2 linked regions of the Notamacropus eugenii genome follow. The protein of the gene in region 1 interacts with the protein of each later gene in a biochemical or structural test. Links are inferred from orthologs where the notes say so. Each region holds a gene or a part of one and is shown on either strand. Other genes may lie near its edges.

Region 1 (8,985 bases):
TTGCCTCAAGCCTATTGTGAGGGCCCAGCCTGACACTGAGTACCTTTATCATCTTTCAAGACTCACCTCAGCTTCTACATCCCAGAGGAAGCCTTCCTTGTTGACAGAGGTTAGCTTTGCTCTCCTCAAATTATCTTGTACGTTCTCATCCACGCCCAAGTGGTATGCCCTCTGGAGACAAGGAACAAAGGACAAAGACTGTATCATTTGACTCTCTATCCATCATGGTGCCTAGCATATCGTAGATGTTTAATAAATGTGTGTTTGAATTGAATTGAAAAGAATATGGCCCAGAGGATCTGTTGTGACTGTATTTCTGCCTGTGCAGATTGGATTCCATGAAGCTGCTATAAGCAATGACCTGTGAAGGACTGGTAGGTTATTATTTACATAGATCTTCCTTCTAATTGCTATAGTGTAGCAGGAAGTTGGATGGTGTGGGTTGAAGGATTCTATTTTCCAGCAAGACCACCTCAGTATCTGAGCTATTGGAGTACGTTTGGTTATGCATTGCTACTCATATCTCCCTCTACTCCTCACACACCATTTGGAAAATTGTTTTTGTTTAAATAATAACAGCTGCACTTACTGTCAAATGCCTTATTGTCAACTTAGAATTATCTCCAAAAATTGCTTTACCTGCAACTCTCCAGCTTCCCATTTTTCCTCTCTCCAGTCTCTCCTTCACTCAGTTGCCAAATTAATATTCCTAAAACATAGGTCTGAAGCTGTCAGCTCCCTGCTCAAACACCTCTGGTGGCTCACTGTTGCCTTTAGAACAAAATAGAAATCCCTCAGCCTAGCTTTCACTGAAAGCTCTCCACAGTCTGGCTCCTATCTCATTTACTATTACTGAGTTTCACACACTTAACATTCCAACCAAAATGGCCTACTAACTGCTCATGCACTCAATATTACATCTCCTTCTTCATCTTTTGTACATGTGTTGTTCTTCAGTGGTATCCAAGTCTTCATGACCCCATTTGGGGTTTTCTTGGCGAAGATCCTGGAGTGGTTTGCCAGTTCCTTCTCCAGTTCATATTACAGATGAGGAAACTGAGGCAAACAGGGTTAAGCGACTTGCCCAGGGTCACACAGCTAGTAGGTGTTTGAGGCCAGATTTGAACTCCAGTCTTCCTAACTCCAGGCCTGGTGCACTATTCACTATGCCACTTAGGGGCCCATCATAGCCTAGAATATGTTCTCCCCTAACCTCAACCCAGGGGTATGTTGCTGCCAGCTCTAATAGAGCCATTGTTAAATTTTCAGCTTGAGCATTTACACCTTGGAAATCAGCAAATGATACAATTCAAGAAGTGATTTATTGTTATGCTGATTGTCTAGACTTAAGAAAGTGATGAGGAAAATATTAATAATGCAGATTAAATTTAAGAATGTATCGAGTTTACACTCCCCCCCATCCCCAACAGAGCCATTTGTTAAGCATTTACCAGCACACCCCTTTCTCAACCTCTTGGACTCCCTGGTGTCCTTCAAGGCTCAGCCCTGTGGCTACCTACCTCCTACACCAAGCCTTTTCTGACCAGTAGTTAGTGGGGTTTTTGTGAAATTAACTTGCACATACCTTATATATATTTACCTGCATATTTGTATTTCTCTAGTATATATAAGCTCCTTGAGGGCAGTGAAAGGCACATTTGTCTTCATCTCCCTAGGGTCTAGCACACAGCTCTTGGCACTTAGTACTTGCTATAAACATTGAGTTGAGCTCTTCTGTCTCCTCTCTCCTTCATCTTTCTACATCTTTCATAGCAAGGGAATGGAGAAAACACTGGACCAGCAATCAGTGTCTTTAGATTTGAGTCTGGGCTGAACCACTGGGGTGTGTAGGACTCAGGCTAGCCATGGAAACCATGAGTCTTTGCCTCCTTAGGAGGCACCAGCTCTCCAAGATTTCCACCTATTTCACTACTTTGATGTGCAAGAACCAGCCTTTATCAGTTCCCATCTGAATTGCCTCGCACCTGCATCTTTGTTTTCCCTTTATTTCATGTCAATAAATTTAAAACTTTCAGGATCAGCTCCTAGGGGACAGGGACTAAGGCATTTTAATCTAGAATTAAAAATTGATGACAATTGATGGTGGATTGCTTAGTCGGGGCACTCGCTTAGGGTGTAGTGGAAAGAGCATGGTGGTTGGAGCCAGAAGACCTTGTTTCAAGTTTGGGTTCCACCAGTATTTGATTAAGTCATATATCCACTCTGAGCCTCAGTTTCCTCATCTATAAAATGTGGATCATAATCCTGACCTCCTTCCAGGGCTGTTGTGAAGATTAGATAAAATCATCATATATGTAAAATATTTTGTAACTGTAATTTACCACAAAACTATGGCTATTCCCCTGAATAAACATATCCTGAGCTGAGACCGGGTGCTGGGTTCATCTATCTAACTAATGAATGCATAGTAATTGGAAAAAAAAAACCTTGAAACACCTTTAGCTTTAGTCTCTCTTCCCTCCTCACAAACTCCTTTAGGATTTGTGCCCCCCCCCCCATAAAGGCACCTGGATGTCACTCTGATGTCTTAAGATAGGAAGTGGCTTTGACTCCCCAACAACGGCACTTCCGGTTGCCTTAGGCAAGGGTGGAGTGGGGTTTTATTGTCCCTCACCTTTGTCCCAAACCCTGCCCTCTGATCACTAGGGTTTTCTTCTCCATTCCCTTCTTCCTTCTCACCAATCCAGGGACCATCTAAACCAGTTGATCTCTGACTATTTCTGGCTAATAAGTCGTTCCTAAGGCCCTTTGTAATTCAGTTCCCTCATTTTACACAGGAGGAAATTAAGGTTCAGACAGTGAAATGGGGGGGGGGGGGCTGGTACAACAGATTGAAACTGTGACTCTGAAGATATATATAGTTTCAAATCCAATCTGACTTGGCCTCTATTTGAAAGCCTGATGTATAGAAAGCTGGCCTTGGAGTCAGGAAGACCTGGGTTCAATTCCCCCTCCTCTGACACCTATAAACTGTGTGGCCTTGGGCATATCACTTAATTTCTCTGCATTATGGGCAGCTCTTTAAAACTATAAATCATAGTTCAGCTAGGTGGTGAAGTGGATAAAGCACCAGCCTTGGTCATTTACTAGCTGTGTGACCCTGGGCAAGTCACTTGATCCCCACTGCATCCCCCAAACAAACAAAACTCTAGGTTTCTTGTACTGGTAGAAATAGGTTCACCTATACCAACGAAATCAGAGATCCCATCCCTACCGATAAATACAGTGCCCTGGTGGCAGCGTCACAGCTATAATTCAGATCTTTTGACTCCCCCAGTTCAACAAAGTCCTCCCCCTCCCCCACCACTTCATGCTCTTATCAGCAGTTCTGTGATAAAAGTGTCCACCTTTTCCCCTCCCAGCCTCCCCAGGCTAGACCTGGAAATGAGACTATGGTGATGGATTCTCTCTACCGGCTCCCTGGAGGAGCCCGACTGATAACTGGATGAAACCCAGCTCAGCCGAGTCCCAGTGGGTGTCCTGGTGTAATCAAGTCTGTTCAGCCGCAGTGAGAGTGAGAGCACACTGCAGCCCTGCTCAGCTGTCTCCGGCCCCAAGCCTAGGTGAGCATGCAGCTGTCTGGGCAGGTCTGGAACCTGCCTGGCCAGTTCTTGCTCCGGGACAGCTATGCCCCTGTGCCCTGCTTACGAGCCCCCTCCCCCCCCCATGGAGGTAGGGGAAACCTTCGGGAAGGAAGAAAAGCAAAGCAGTTGGTATGTTTCTCACGAGCTGGAAGGAGGAGGAGGTACCCTGGGATCTGGCCAAAGGAGGATGGAAATGCTAATCCTTCCCTTTTACCTGCTCTTCCAGGCCAGATACACCCCAGAGGCTCAACTCTCCTACCTTCTCATCTCTCTCTTTAGTGTCTGTCACCAAGCTGGGTAGAGAGGGGTCATTCATCTGTCTTTGAGGTTTGGGTGATGTTTCTTCCTATCCATGGAAGGTAAGGTATTTCACTTGGTTCTGGTCAAATTTGAATTAAACATGGGTTCTGGAGACAGAGTCAGGAGAGGCTGGGTTTGAAATCCAGCTCTGTCACCTCAACAAACAACACCAATGTACTTTATGTTCTGCAAAGCATTTTACATAATTTCATTTGATCCTCACAACAATCCGGTGATGTAAGTGCTATGGTTATCTTCCTTTTACAAACAAGGAACTTAACTCAGTGATTAGGTGACTGGCCCAGGGTCACCCAGCTAATAAACATCTAAGGGAGTTTCAAACTCTGGTCTTCCGGACTCAAGGTTTAACCCTCTCCAAAGTTATTTTATTCACCTTCTCAGGGCTTCAGTTTCCTCCTCCAAATGAGGAAGGTTTGGCCAGATGAGCTCTAAAGTTGGCTCTAACATCCTGCCACTCTGGGGTGTTCCTAGCTAATCCTAAACTTGGTTTTGAGTTGGTGTCATCTCCTTGAGCCAAGAACTGCTTGCTGCCTTAGATCTGTTTCTTGGCAGGTTCCTAAGCTTGAGTTCTCATCCATTATGCTATCTGAAGATCATATGATTGCCTTAAAGCTGAAGGGGATCTTGAGTCATCTAGCACAATCTCATTTTACAGGTTAGGAAACTGAGGTTAAGAAAAGGCAAAGAAGGAAGTGGTAGAGACAGAATTAGAACTCAGGTCCTCTGCCTCCAACTGCAGTAGCCCTCTTTCCACATAAGATCATGGTTTTTAGAGCTAAAAGGAACCTGAGACGTTATGTAGTCGAATAAGAAACCGAGGCCCAGAGAGAACAGACTCTCTTGAATGTCAGGGCTGGGATTCTGTACTAGGTCTTTCTTCTGCATCCCTGGCGGTGCAGGGGCCCTATTTGGAGAGAGACGGGACCCTCTGTGCATCTGCCCATCTGCCCGAAGGGGCTAGGTTTGGGGGCCCCCCGGGGGGGGGGGTCTGTTTAGGAGTCACTGTCTAGGGCCCTGTGTCAAGGCCTCCGTCACAGAGGCATGGGCCGGCAGCTCTCTGTCTCCACCCCCACCCCTCCATGCCGGACTCCTCGGTGCTGCCCAGACCCCTGAGAAGGACACTGGGGTCACCCTCCCTTCCGCTTCTCGGGACCTTGACCGTGGGGCGGCTGCTGGGTCAGTGCAGGCCCCCGCCCTGCATCCTTCCGTCCCGGGCCGCCCCCTCCCCGCCCCGGGTCGTGGGTCCTCGGGTGCCCGGGCTGGGCAGGCGGCTGGCCGGCCGGGGCGGGCCGGGGCGGGGCGCCCGTGAGAAGCCCCTCCCCGGGGGCGGGCGGGCCGGGCTGGGGGCGGGCAGCGGGGGTGTCCCTCCCCGCCTCGCTCCCCGGTAAAGTCTCGCGGTGCTGCTGGGCTCAGCCCCGTCTCCTCCTCCTGCTCCCCCTCGGCCGGGCGGCGGTGACTGTGCACTGAGATCGGAGCGGGCAGCGCAGCCGTGCCCGCCCCGCCAGCATGGCCACCACCGCCCCCTGCACCCGCTTCACCGACGACTACCAGCTCTACGAAGAGCTCGGCAAGTACGGCCCGGACTTCCCCCGCCCCGGGCGCTCCTGCGGCTCCTCCCCCCGCCCCCCGCCCCGCACCGGCCCCGCTGCAGCCCGGCGGTGCGGCGCCCCTTCCCCGCGCGGCGCCCCCGGCCCCTCCCCGGCCGGCTCCGGCCACTGCGGCCGGAGCGGAGCCTCGCGCTGCATGCGGCCGACTGCAGCCCCCCGGCCGCTGCCGGGCTCCCCCGGCCACGCCCCCGGCCCGCTCCGGCCCCTCGGGCTCTCCGACCTTGGTCACACCCTGTCCGAGCCGGACCCCGCGGCCGGTGCCCGGGTCGGGGGGCTGCCCCGGCGCCCGGCCCCGCCCCCGGCTTCCCGGATCCCGACCCCGCCGCTGGGCGCTGCTGCAGCCCCCCCTTCCTTCCCGCCCCCCCCCTCCCTGCAGTGGTCCCGGGAGCCGCGCGCCGCAGCCGCAGCATCCCCCTCCCCTCCGCACGGCACCGAGCAGCGCCGGCCGCTGCTGCAGCCCCAGACTCCCCTCCCCGCCCCCCCAACCTGGCCACTGCAGCCCCCGCCCTGCCCCCCAGCCTGTACACCCAGCCGGGGGGAGCTGGGCATCGAGAGCTGGAGGGCTGACTCGGGAGGGGGGGGGGGGGCGGGAGGGGAAAGGGAGAAGGAAGGGAGAGACTTTGCAGCCCTGCCCTTGACAGCTGGGGCTCCTGCCCCCCTCCCCAGGGCTCTCCTTCCCTTTCCCTGCTGCTCGCCTAGACTGGAGGCTGTTCTTTTTGTGGGATGTGGTGGGACCCCAAGGCTCTGAGCGGCCGTGGGCTTCTCGCTCCTCCCCTGATGCTAAAGCTTTATTCCTCCCATGGATGAGGGAGATGATGCCTTCTTTAGGGAGTTCTACCTCCCAAATTTCCTGTGGTTCCCAAGTATGAGTGCTATGAGTAGGAGAGGGTACCTTTGCCCCTCACTCTTCACTTCTCCCCTGGAATGCAGGGTAGCTCTGAATGCATCAGGTGTGTGATAGGAACATTTCCCACCAATCCCACACCTGTGAGCCTGAAGTCTGAGTTGTTTCTTTGTCCCAGGGTCAGATAAAGGGACAGGGTGGAGGGAAATATCTTTTTATCATAAGTCTAAATCATGTTGCTTTTTTCATGAATGCTTAGGTGGCAGTGCCATTAGATGGGGGGGGGGTCAACCTGTTCTAGGGTTGGGGGAGTCACTGTCAGGAGTGAATGACTGTGGTTATAGGTGGGGGTCATTCTGATCTAGAATCTGGGAATGGAGGACAATTCATGTGGTTGTGAGATCAGGTATAAATATTTATCACTCTACTCGGGTCTTTGTCCCAGTTCTTGCTCTCCTCTCTTTCTAGGGGGGCTTTCTCTGTGGTCCGAAGATGTGTTAAGAAAACCTCCACTCAGGAGTATGCAGCAAAAATTATTAACACCAAGAAGCTATCAGCCCGAGGTGAGTGTGGATGGATGAAAACTCCTTGAAGGCAAGATTCATGCACTTCTGTCTGTATATCCCAGCACAGTGTGAGGCACATAGTATGTCCCTAATAAATACTTGTAACTTGGTTGATCTTGATCTTTATCCCCTGACAGAGTGAGATGTCTGGACTCATGCATTTAATGGTGGGGCAGAAGTTGGTGGTACTAAGAGGAGATTATTGGAACTTGGAATAGATGTGACTTTCAGGGGAACTGGTACAGAGAGCTACTCTGTCTAGGCAGGAGAGGCCCAGGGGCCTTTGGGATGGAAGAGATGGTGGGTTGTTCTCACAAGGATGACTGGGGTAGCTGAAGACTCTGACAAATGGGGACTTTGGTCCCTTGAGGTGGAGAAAGAGTGGCATTAACTGCCAGTTTTGCTGGAGAAATGTAGTTTCATGTAGCGCAAAGCAGCAATCCCCTAATTTGGTGAATGTGAGGAAAGGTCCCACCTGAGATGGATTTGTTGAAGTCAAAGGCAGCGAATGAGCGAATGTAGAGTTGTCCTATCCACACACAATCCTTCCCCCTCCCAACTTGTGCTTGGGTTGGAACTGCAGTAAATGAGAAGCCTGGATGGTTGCTTGCCTCCCCCTGCCCACCAGGCAGCCAAATAGACTCCCAAGGGGAAAAAAATCTGTAAACATCAGGGGAGGCTGGTATTGGCGAGGACTCTTCGGGAACAAATCCTGCCAGATGAACTGGATTGCTTTTTTTTGATCAAATTACCAAGTTAGTGATGCAGACGCAGATGCAATCTCTCCTGGGCGGAGGTTGGTTGCTTCATGAACATGAGAAAGAGAATGCACCTGATGCCCTGGGTCAGAGGGGTTGCAGCTGTCCAAAGCAGGGGGCCTGACTTCAAAGGCCAGAGAAGACAAGGTCTAATTGTTGTTTCTCTCCCCTGAACAGTTCCACCTCTAATCTCACCTTCGGGATATACCAACTTCCTGGCATCAGACTTGTGTGGCCATCCAAGTATGAGTGATTGGTACATGAATAGATACAGTGAAGGAGTGGATGGGGTGTGATGAGGACTTCAGTATATAGCTGTGAGGCAGGAGAAGTAGAGGAGGGTGCTCTGAATTATATAAGGCACCACAGGAATGGCACCCCAAATGGGCTGCATAGAGGGGTTCTAGTGCAAAGAATACTTGGGCTTGTGCTTGAGAGATCTGAGTTCAAATCTTGGTGCTGACACTTGGTTATACAACTGAGGGGAAGTCACTCAACTTCCTCTAAGTCTCATCTGTAAAATAGGAACGATAATGCTGTAGTGACCTAGCTCATCAGACTGTTGCAAGGCTCACGAGTACAGAAGGGACTTTGTAAGCCTTAAAGCACCACATCAGGATGAGTAATTGCTATCCTAGGGAATGGGGAGCTCTGAGATTGCCTGAGTAGAATTGTAAGCTCTTTGAGGGCAGGATGGTTTCATTGTTGCCTTTGTACCCCCAGTGTTGTCAGCATCCCAGGGCTGTGAGAAACAGAAAAAGGAATGTTCTTGGACTCAGTTAATTCTAAGGAAGCACAGAGCTTCCTCGGGGCTTGCAGCAGGGACAGTTTGCCTTCTAGTGGTGGGGTTCTGTAGAAGGGAATGGTCCTCGGGTGTGGGGTTTGTCAGGCTCTCTTGTTCACATCCCATATTCCATCCCTTTCTTGGCCCTGAGCATCTGCTACCAAGTTCACTTGTTCATTGGTTTCTTTTCTGTTTGGGCATCTTGGCTCCAGGGTGATGGTTGCCATAGAAACATGTGGGTGGCCAGGGTGCCCTCCTACCCTCCATCGGGGCAGTGTGGGCTGGGATAGGAACACTGTTTCATTCCTCTCCCCTCCCCCTTTCCTCCCCCTGCAGACACTCTCTGTCCTGGGAATGGATACATCACTCACTAGAAACCCACAGCAAAGTCCTAGCGCCCTCAGAAATGGGACCCTGGTGTCTGGTGTCTCCAGTTGATGATGCAATGTCCCTCTCTCCTCTTGACAGTGCCCTCTTCTTGTCCAGGAGCTGGGGAAGGG
Region 2 (9,736 bases), about 460 Mb from region 1:
GTCTCAGGGACATTATGACCACACCCAGGGACATCCTATGACAGCCTAGATAAGCATTATTTCACCAGCAGCCAAGAAAGTCCATCTGTCCCAGGAAATCTCCTTCTTACTACCTACCCTTGGGTCTCCCACTCTTGGTTTGGAGTCTTACCTGTTCCCAGATGTCAAACACCACGAGGGAAGCCTCTTCTCCATCCACCACAATGGATCGGTCATAGGTGTTCCCTAGGAATAAGACCGAGGTCCAGAAAACAAGGTCACTATTGGGACCTCATAGAGAGGGGGAAAGGCAATGTGTGCTAACGTTCTGTATGCAGCACAAGACCCCTGACCTCCCTCCCTCTGTCCCTATTTCCTTCTCATTCTTGTGTGAAATGGTTCCTTAATCTCCCTTCTCCTTTCTCCCTCTCCTCCCTTGTGTTTTCAATTATAAGCAAGACTTGAAAGCAATACCCACACACACACACACACACACACAATCATAGCCAGTCCCATAGCCTCCTCCCCATCTCTATTTCTCATAAATTGTTCCACTGTGAGGGCAGGCACCCTCTCTCTTTGTCTTTGTACCCCCAATGCCTAGCAAATAGTAGGTACTTAAAAATGCTTGTTGAATTGGATGAGTTCCCTAACCTCCTTATCTGTCCCCTTGTTTCCAATTACAGCACTGCCCTTAACCTCTTTATCCATCCCTGTTTTCCATTATTGCTAGATCTCTAAACTCCTTATCTATTCCTGTTTTCTGTTATAGCTGAATTCTTAAACTCCCCATCCAGCTCCCTGTCCCTCTGTTGCTTATTATAGCTGGACCCCTAACCTCCCATCTATCCATCTGTTTTCTGTTACACTTGGACCCCTAACCTCCCTGCCCCCATCCCTTTTCCTTATTATTCCCACGATCCTTGCCACTGTTACTGATGATACATGGTGTCACATGCAAGTAATGTAAATACACTCTGTCATATGAAGTCCAGCCGCTTTTCATTGTTCCAGTGTGATACATAGTGAATGATACAAGTTATCAGCCCCTACTTCTCCCTAGGACAATGGAAGCACTACTTATTTGGCTAGACCCAATGCCATCTCTGCTTTATGGATCAAGAATTTCCTGGGTTCTCAGAATTATTCCTCCCACTGTGGCCTACTGAGACCTCAAGAGGAAAGCATAGGATCATAGATTAAAAACTAGAAGGGACTTCACAAGTCTAAATAACCCCTTCAATTTTCAGATGAGGAAACTGAGGCCTGGAAAAGTTAAATGACTTCCTTAGGGCCATAAAACTATTAAGTGTCTGAGTCATGATTTGAGTTCAGGTCTTCCTTAACGTCAAGTCTAGCAGTGTTCCATCTACTATGCTAATCTGGCTGTGGTCTGGGCTAGCCTGGCCTGGACGATTAGTTCAAAGACTGAGGGCCCCCCATTAAAGCATGAAGAAAAGGTTCTGCCAGCCCAAGTGGTAGAGAGTTGTTGTGTTCAATTGTATCTGACTTTTGGTGTTTTTCTTTTTGAGGTTTTCTTTTCAAAGATACTGGAGTGGTTTGCCATTTCCTTCTCCAGCTCATTTTACAAATAAGGAAACTGAGGTCAACAGAATTAAGTGACTTGTCCATGGTCACACAGCTAGTAAAAGTCTGAGGCTGGATTTGAACTCAGGAAGATGACTCTTTTGCCCAGTAGAGAGTATAGGCTGGTCTAAACTTAAGCGGACAATGTCCCCATACTTCATGAAGGCTGCTACCCCTTCTCCTTCCCCAGTAACTGGAAAGTCGCAGCTACTGACTTATACTAGGCTGAGCTGGCTGAACCTGTAATACCCTTAGCCTCTTCCACCAAATCCTATCTGCTGGTGTTGTAGCCTTCAGGAAAGAGTCCCATGGTCAGAAATGGAGACTCAACCCCACTAAACTTACCCAGGAAGACAATGGAAGGCAGCAGCCTGTAACCATGGATCTCTTTGAAAAGGTACAGTGGAAAGATCTAGCAATCAGTCAACAAGCTTTTATTAAGAATAATGAATTTGGAGTCAGAAGACCTCAGCTGAAATCTTGTCTCTTCCTTTACTGTCATTATGAACTTAGACAAATCACCTTTTCCTCTCTGGGCCTCAGTTTCTTGATCTGTCAAAGGAGGAGGCTAGACTAAATAATCCCTGAGGTCTCTTTGTTGTTGTTCGTCCTACGTTCTCAAAGAGTGCTCTATAAACTCTAAATTCTATGACTCCAGACTCCAAAGTGTGAGCTCATGAGACTATCAACAACACCCTGGACATCATTTTAGTCCCAAAGCCTGGGTCTGTGGACACCTGGGAGTAGGGTGGATTTTGTCATTCTCTCCTTCACTCCAAGAAGGTTAGAGATACTTCCCCCTCTCCCTACCCTGTCCTGCAGCCTCAGCCTCCCTAACAGAAGAATGGACAGACAGATGGATGAACTCAAACAAAGCTCATCCACAACCCACAAGTTTATCTTCTTCCATCTCTTTTGTCTCCTTAGAATTCCAGAATGCCACACCCAGGAGCCACCTGAAACCTGTCTAGAGACCATTCTAGGTCCACCCCTTCTGTTTAGAGAGTACAAACTCAGGACCAGAGAAAGGTCCATTTGTCAAAGGTCCTTCAGTAACTTCATTGCAGAGATGGAATTCAAATCTGAGTTTTCTGCCACCAAGTCCAGCCTCCCTTCCAACAGCATTTCCCTCACTCCATTAAACACATCATTCTTTTCTCCCTTTTCCCATAATCTCAGAGTGGGAAGGGACTAAGGCAACTCTTGACCTCTCTCTACCTGATCGGAAATCTCCTTTATAGGATCCCTAGCAAATGGCCAGCCAGCCTTTACATGAAGACTTCCCAGAGATCTCCCTCTTTCCTCTCCCCTCGATCCTTCCCATCTTAATTCAATCAACAAGCACTTGGCCTGCTAAATGTAGACATTACGCTAGGCTCTGGGATTAAAGACCAAACCAGTACCAGTTCCTGCCCTCCAGGTGCTTAAAATCGTAACTCTTTTTTCTCATTCTCTCCAAGTCTTCTATCCCAATACTTTTTCACCCTCTCCTCTAACTCTCCTCTGTTCGGTCCCTCCAGCCCCCCCGGCTCAGCTCTTCTCTCCTCGGTTCCTCCCCAGTCTTGCCCGCTCTCTCCTGGCAGTGATTCTTACTCACCAGCGGCCTCGGCTTCAGGGCCGTCCTCGACGCCGCCAAAGATGCGTGCCAGGCTGGTTTTGCCCACCCCGCGCTCGCCCAGAAGTATCACCTTGTACAGGTGGCTGTCGGACTCGCTGCCTGAAGATGTTAGGGAGTCGGAGGAGCCCGAGGCCCAGCAATCGCTGGGTTCCCGGGGGCTGCAGGAGGGGCGCCGCACCAGGTTGGACAGCTGGCCCAAGGGACCAGAGGGCAGCGCCGCCTGAAAGTCTCGCTCGTCCACTGGCATGCTACGGCGATGCAGGTGCTGCTGAATAAGGAAGGGCGTGCTTCCCCGACGACGGTCCCCGCTGCGCCGCTGAGCTCCACGATTCAGAGTCATCGTATGCGCTGTCTGTAACAGACTGGCTGGAGGGGACCAGGCCGAAGAAGCGGAGAGGAAAAAAGAGGAAAGGGCCACGTTGAGCTGGGAGGTGCCTATTCACCGACCCCGACCTCGGGGCTGCCCCGAGGCAGTTCCTGCTCCCTGCCAAGATCTCAGATCTGGCCATCCCTCTCCCCCCGCCGAGCCCCGCCCCCCATAGGCACTAGACACCCCAGTACCACTTCTGGATCCGTCGGGCAATGTAGCCCCAGTCAGACCGCAGGGCCATTTCGGGCTCAGTCCATCCCCGACACACACACACACACACACACACACACACACACACACACACACACACACACACACACACACCCGACAGACACACCCACGCATACCCACACGCGCGCGCGCGCACACACACACACACACACACACACACACACACACACACACACACACACACACACACACACACACACACACCTGAGAACTAGTCTGGGTTCAGTACACACCCCTTAGTTGTCGGGACCGTTCCCGATCCTTCTAGGATCCCAGATCCCTACTCGAAGATCCCAGGCCACCAAACTGAACGAATGTCTCTGTCCTACACCAAACCCTGGCACCAGGGCACCAGCGGGCAAGGTAGAGGCTCTGGGAATCTACCCTCCCTCCCCAGCGAGGCCGGGATCTCCGCGATACTCACCTCTCGTAGGGACTGACACACGGACTCAGATTCGGATTCCGATCCCGGCAGACTCTCTCCTCCAGTTGCCTCCGCCTCTGCTCGGGCTAATCTCCCGGAGAGCCCCAGCACCGCCTATTTATGTCCCGGCTCGGGCGCGCGAGTCCAGACCCGCCCCCTGTCCTTCCTCTTCCTCCATCCCTCTTTTCTCTCCCTCCCCCTCCTTGGCCTCCCCTTCCCCAGGCTTTGCCAGCTCAGACTCAATCCCCAGAGGGAGGGGGTGGCAGCTGGCGGGGGTTGGGAGGACTGACGTGTTCGTACTTAGCCCTGACCTGAGGGGAAATCCTGGAGAGAAGCACCCCCCCGGTCCCCAAGCCTCTGGATTCCAATCCCAGCAACGCCACTAACTAGCTGTGTCACCGCCCCTCCTTGAGCCTCAGTTTCCTCATCTGTTAAATGAGAAGGAGTGGGGCGGGGTGTGCACTTGATGTTTTCTAAGACTCCTTCCTAACTCCAGGGAGTTGTTCCAAGGTGGAGGGTGGAGGTGGGGGCAGCTAGCGTCTACAACCCTGGACGGGTCAAAACGCGGGACCCTTCTAGCGCGGACCTGGGGCACGCGAGGGACACCCATTATGTATAAGAGACTCAAAATGGGAGGGATCCCTTCCACTCCTTGGGCTCCTGCCTCGCTTTCACCTCCCGTAGAGGGAAGCCCGTTTCCAGAGATCAGACACTAAGGGCAAGGGTGCAGGTCAGTGTTTTGGAGAGCCTGGTAGGTAGAGGGTGGAGGTGGGTGGAGGGAAGTAAGAAAGGAGCGTCGAATTGGAGGCATCCAGCTGACTGAGAAAAAGGATTCTTACCACTCCAACAACAGTATTGGTCTCTTAGTCCAGCTCCCAGCCCCCGGCTCCCAAAGAAGTCCTGTGGATAGATAAAGCAGATCACCCTTGTAATTTCCTACCAGTCCAAGTCCTCCTCAACCCCACAAAACAAGGTTTCCAGGGCCAGTGTATTGAGTGGGGAGGAGATCTGTGGAGGAGTCAAGGGTGCCGGATTTGAATTCTGCCCCTGTCATTACTATTTGGCCTTGGCTAAGACATTTTCCTTTATGGGGTCTTAGTGACCTTTTCTAAAAAAAATAAGGGGCTTGAACTGTCTAATCTAGAAGAGATTTCACGTCTAATCTTGGTTCAATTTATCTTTCTTTTTCTTTCTCGTCCTTCTTTCTTTCTTTCTCTTCCTCCCTCCCTCTCTCCCTTCCTTTCTTCCTTCCTCCCTCCCTCCCTCCCTCCCTTCCTTCCTTCCTTCCTTCCTTCCTTCCTTCCTTCCTTCCTTCCTTCCTTCCTTCCTTCCTTCCTCCTTCCTTCCTTCCTTCCTTCCTTCCTTCCTTCCTTCCTTCCTTCCTTCCTTCCTTCTTTCCTTTCCTTCTTTCTTTCTTGTTCATAATCAGGATTAAGTGACTTGCCCAGGGTCACAGAGCTAGAAAATCTCTGAGGTCATAATTTGAGCTTCAGGGGCTGGTGCTCTAGACATCTAGCTGCTGGTATCTAGGTTCAGTTTCAAGAAACCCCTAGGGCCTCTGGAGAGTTGATTTAGGGAAGGATTTAAGGTAGTTTTAAGGATTATTCCTTTTAGGAGAGGGACTGAATTGCCATCTCATCAATGACTTTCTCTTGCAATATAAAGTCTTAGGGACTTGAATAGTGGTGGTGTCAGACTCAAATAGAGACCATCCCTGAGGACTGCGTGTTGACTTGGACAACCACAAATTAACATTATCTATGTTTTATTGTATTTTAAAATGAATTTTGTCAAACATTTCCCAATGACATTTTAACCAGATTAGGGCAGCACTGGGGACTTAGATGCTGAGAAGTTAAGGAACTCTCTCAAGACCACAAAGCATGTGTAGGATTTGAACTCAGGTTTTCCTGGTTCTGAGGTCATCTCCCATTCGAGCCAGGAAACATTTATTAAGCACTTCCTCTGAACTGACTGGACTCTGTGGAAATAACAAAGACAAAACAGTTCCCGAATCCCTGTCCTCAAAGACTTTACATGAACAAGAGGGAAGAGATAATAACACAGGCCTTAATATGTGTGATACATGGTCATTTAAGGACTGCTGAGGGGCCTAATAGAAAAAGTATTGTATGTGGAGTCAAAGGACCTGGGCTTCTGGGTCTGAATCCCTCCTCTTCCATTCATTATTGTTCCTCAATTTCCTCATCTGTAAAAAACTAGAGGGGTTGACCCTCTGAGATCCATTCCAGACCCAGATCTTTGATCCTGGGCATTTGAGGAGGGAGAAAGGACTAATAAATTACTGGAAGGTCAGGGAGGGCTTCAGAAAGGAGGTGGCACCTGAGCTGAGGCATGGACAAGGGTAAGGATTATCCAAGGTGGGGTTGGGGATGAGTATATGGGGGCTGACGCTCATAGTGTTGGGAAATGGGGTGAACTTGTTGAATGGCTAGTTGTAGAGCTTGGCCAGGTTGTGACTCAGACTGTGGAGGGTCTAAAATGCCAGTCTGAGGGAATTTCCATTGTGTCCTGGAGCCAATGGGGAGCCATTGAAGGTTTCTGAATGGATTTTCTTATCTGTGCTTTGTAGTAGGAGGATCATTTTGGCAGTTGCATAGAGGATAGGTTGGAGTGGGGAGGGAATTGAGGAGAGAGAGAGCATATATTGTGTAGGAGACTCCTCCAGGCAGAGATGGTGAGGTCCTGAAGTATGGTGGTGACTCAGTGGGTAGAGAAGAGGAGATACAGGCCACAGATGTTATGGAAAAACTGATGCTTGTATACCTTCTGAGGAGCCAGAGATTTTCTGGGATGGAGGGTGAGGAGTAGGGTTTCAGCCTCACCTTAAAAATGGGAGCTGAGTAAGCATAGGGCCCCCATTGTGGAGATTCAGAGAAATAATGATTTCCCTCTTTGGATTAGAGGGTGGTTGAGCAGGGATGCCAAGAGGACAGTGATTTAAGGAGCAGGGGCAGTTGGATGGCCCAGTTGATGAGTACTGGGCCTGGAGTCAGGAAGACCTGAATTCAAATCTAGTCTCAGACATTTACTAGCTGGGTGATTCTGGGTAAGTGATTTAACCTTGTTTGCCTCAGTTTCCTTATCTGTGAAATGAGCTGGAGAACGAAGTAGCAAACCACTCCAGTATTTTTACCAAGAAAACCCCAAAAAGGTCAGACACAACTGAAAATGTCTAAACAACAAATTAAGGAACAAGAAGGTCTCCTTACGCCAATGTATCATTCTCCCTCCACCATCCCTCAATATTGTTAGTCTGAAATCCCCTATGATCGACCTCTTCCTCATTGGAAGAAGTAACACATTATAGGATTATAGTATTTAGAGTTGGAATGGATCTTGGAGTTCCCCTAAGAAGGGATCTAGTTAGAGTTCTTTTTATAGCTGAGATCCAGAGAGATGACTTACCCAGGGTCGTACTGGTAGGAAAGGGCAAATCTAGGATTTGAATCCAGGTCAATGCTCTTTCGATGAACACCTTACAAGGTCTGGTTTCTTCATCCTTTTCAGTTGGGTGCTCTGTCGAGCCATAATGAAAGCAAGAAGGGGTAGTTTTCATAGGGCAGAAAAGAAAGAAAAGTTGGGAGCAGAAGTGGGGGAGGAGAAGCTGGGAGCAAATAGGCCTGGGTATTCTCTGTGCCATGGCCCTGATGCCTTGAGGGAAAGCGAAAGGAGATGGATCATCACAACCTCCTGACTTTACAGCACCTGGGTTTGGGGTCTCCCTTAGCAGTTGTCTCCCAGGACCCCCAATGTAATGAGAATTTACATTTCTATAGTGCTTTAAGGTTTACAAAATATACTCCTTATAATAACTCTGAGGTAGAGAGTGCAGCAGTTATTAAGTCTATGATCCTATAATTTCCATTTTACAGATGAGAAAATTGAGTCTCGGAGAGGAGAAAGGGACTTCTAGTATCATAGGATCATAGGATTTAGAGCTAAGGAGGGACCTTAGCCAGTATCTGGGCTTAACTCCTAATTTTACAGAGAAGGAAGAAAGGTGAAATGATTTCCTCCAATACACATAACACTTACAGCTGGGATTTGAACGTGTGCCTTTGTATTTCTGATCAGCCGCCCCACCCTCTCTTTCCTCTTCGCCTGCTCAGTTTTCTGGGCCTTTGCCCACACAGAGCTGATACAGGCAACTGGGCTAAAAATATCCTCTCCTGTCCTCCTCTCTCCTCCCCCATCTCTGTCCTGGGGGGTCCAGCTGGCCTTCCCCAAGCTTCCTGGATGCTGAGCTCATGAGGACATTTTGGTAAATCTGGCCTAGACATTGAACCAGTTGGGCCCTGACCCCATGACTGGCCAAATGGGGCTCATGTTGCATTGTTTGTTGGCCCCAGGATCTAGCTTGGCCTCTCTCCTTCTGTTTCTTTCTCCTAGGAGAAAAGATCTGTACTTGGGATCCCAGCCTCCTATCTTGTGCCTCCTGGGAACTGCTAGGAAGAAGAGGAGAGCTTGGGAAATAGTCACACATAAAGATTTGAAAATCACTTCATATTCCATTTATTTAGAATAGGACTATAGAATACATTGATCAATCAGCCAACAATTATTTATTGAAGTGACTACTATATGCCACACTACTATATGCCACTATAGGGATAGTGGAGAGAGAACCTGCTTAGGAGTCAGAAAGAATTGAATTAAAGTCCCTCCACTGACATACATTTAAAGTCTCAGTGCTCCAGGCAGCTCTCTGAGGTTGGGGTCTACCTTAGGAGAGAGAATTCCTTCCCTGGGAGTTCCCTATACTCATGAAATCACAGGTTCATTTTTTTAAGTGCTAGGCAATGGGTATTTACTGGGAGGGGAGGGGAGGGATATGTACATACGTAAATATCTATATCTATCTATCCATCCACACACATATGTATAGATAGAGATTCTAAATTTGGGGGAGAGGACACTAGCATCTGGTAGATCAGGAAAGGTTTTGTTTAGAAGATGGTATTTTGTCTGAGCCTTGAAGGAAGCTAGGGATTCTAAGAGTCAGAGCTGAGAAGGGAGGGCATTCCAGGCTCAAAAGACAGCTAATATAAAGCAATGGAGACAGAAGAGGAAGGATTTTGTGTAAGGAATACAAGACCACCAATTTTGCAGGACCATGGAGTGCAGGAAGGGGAGTGATATAAAAAAGCTGGAAAGGTAGGTTGGGGTCAGGATGAAAAGACCTTTAAATGTCAAACAGAGGAGTTTATATTTGGTTCTAAGGCAATAGAGAACCACTGGAGTTTATTTGGCAGTTGTGTTGAGGATGGATTGGAGAGGGCAAATATAATGAAAACAGGGAGACCAATTAGGAAGGTATTTGACAGTCCAGGTGAGCTGTAATAAGGCTTCAGAGAGGGTAATGGCCTTATGAGATAGAGGAGAGAAATAAAGATGTTATGGAGGTAAGACACGAGATTAGGCAACTGATTGGATATGTGGGACAGGGAGAGAAAATCCAGGATAATATTGAGGTTGTGAACCTGAGTGATTGAAAAGACAGTAG

Evidence for each region.
Region 2: of the proteins of CAMK2G (region 1) and RRAD, one has a biochemical effect on the other in vitro, tested with the Homo sapiens proteins (2 studies listed by BioGRID, with this or other methods). The link is inferred for Notamacropus eugenii from reciprocal best matches to the Homo sapiens genes CAMK2G and RRAD.

Annotation. Positions count from the first base shown.
Region 1 is NC_092872.1:236,560,556-236,569,540, forward strand, and holds the start of CAMK2G (calcium/calmodulin-dependent protein kinase type II subunit gamma), read left to right. Parts: upstream 1-5,265; 5' UTR 5,266-5,432; coding exon 5,433-5,497; intron 5,498-6,123; exon of another isoform or gene 6,124-6,457; coding exon of another isoform or gene 6,458-6,483; intron 6,484-6,845; coding exon 6,846-6,940; intron 6,941-8,985.
Region 2 is NC_092872.1:693,974,550-693,984,285, forward strand, and holds the start of RRAD (GTP-binding protein RAD), read right to left. Parts: upstream 4,332-9,736; 5' UTR 4,210-4,331; intron 3,551-4,209; 5' UTR 3,525-3,550; coding exon 3,164-3,524; intron 226-3,163; coding exon 152-225; intron 1-151. UniProt on the Homo sapiens protein: May regulate basal voltage-dependent L-type Ca(2+) currents and be required for beta-adrenergic augmentation of Ca(2+) influx in cardiomyocytes, thereby regulating increases in heart rate and contractile force.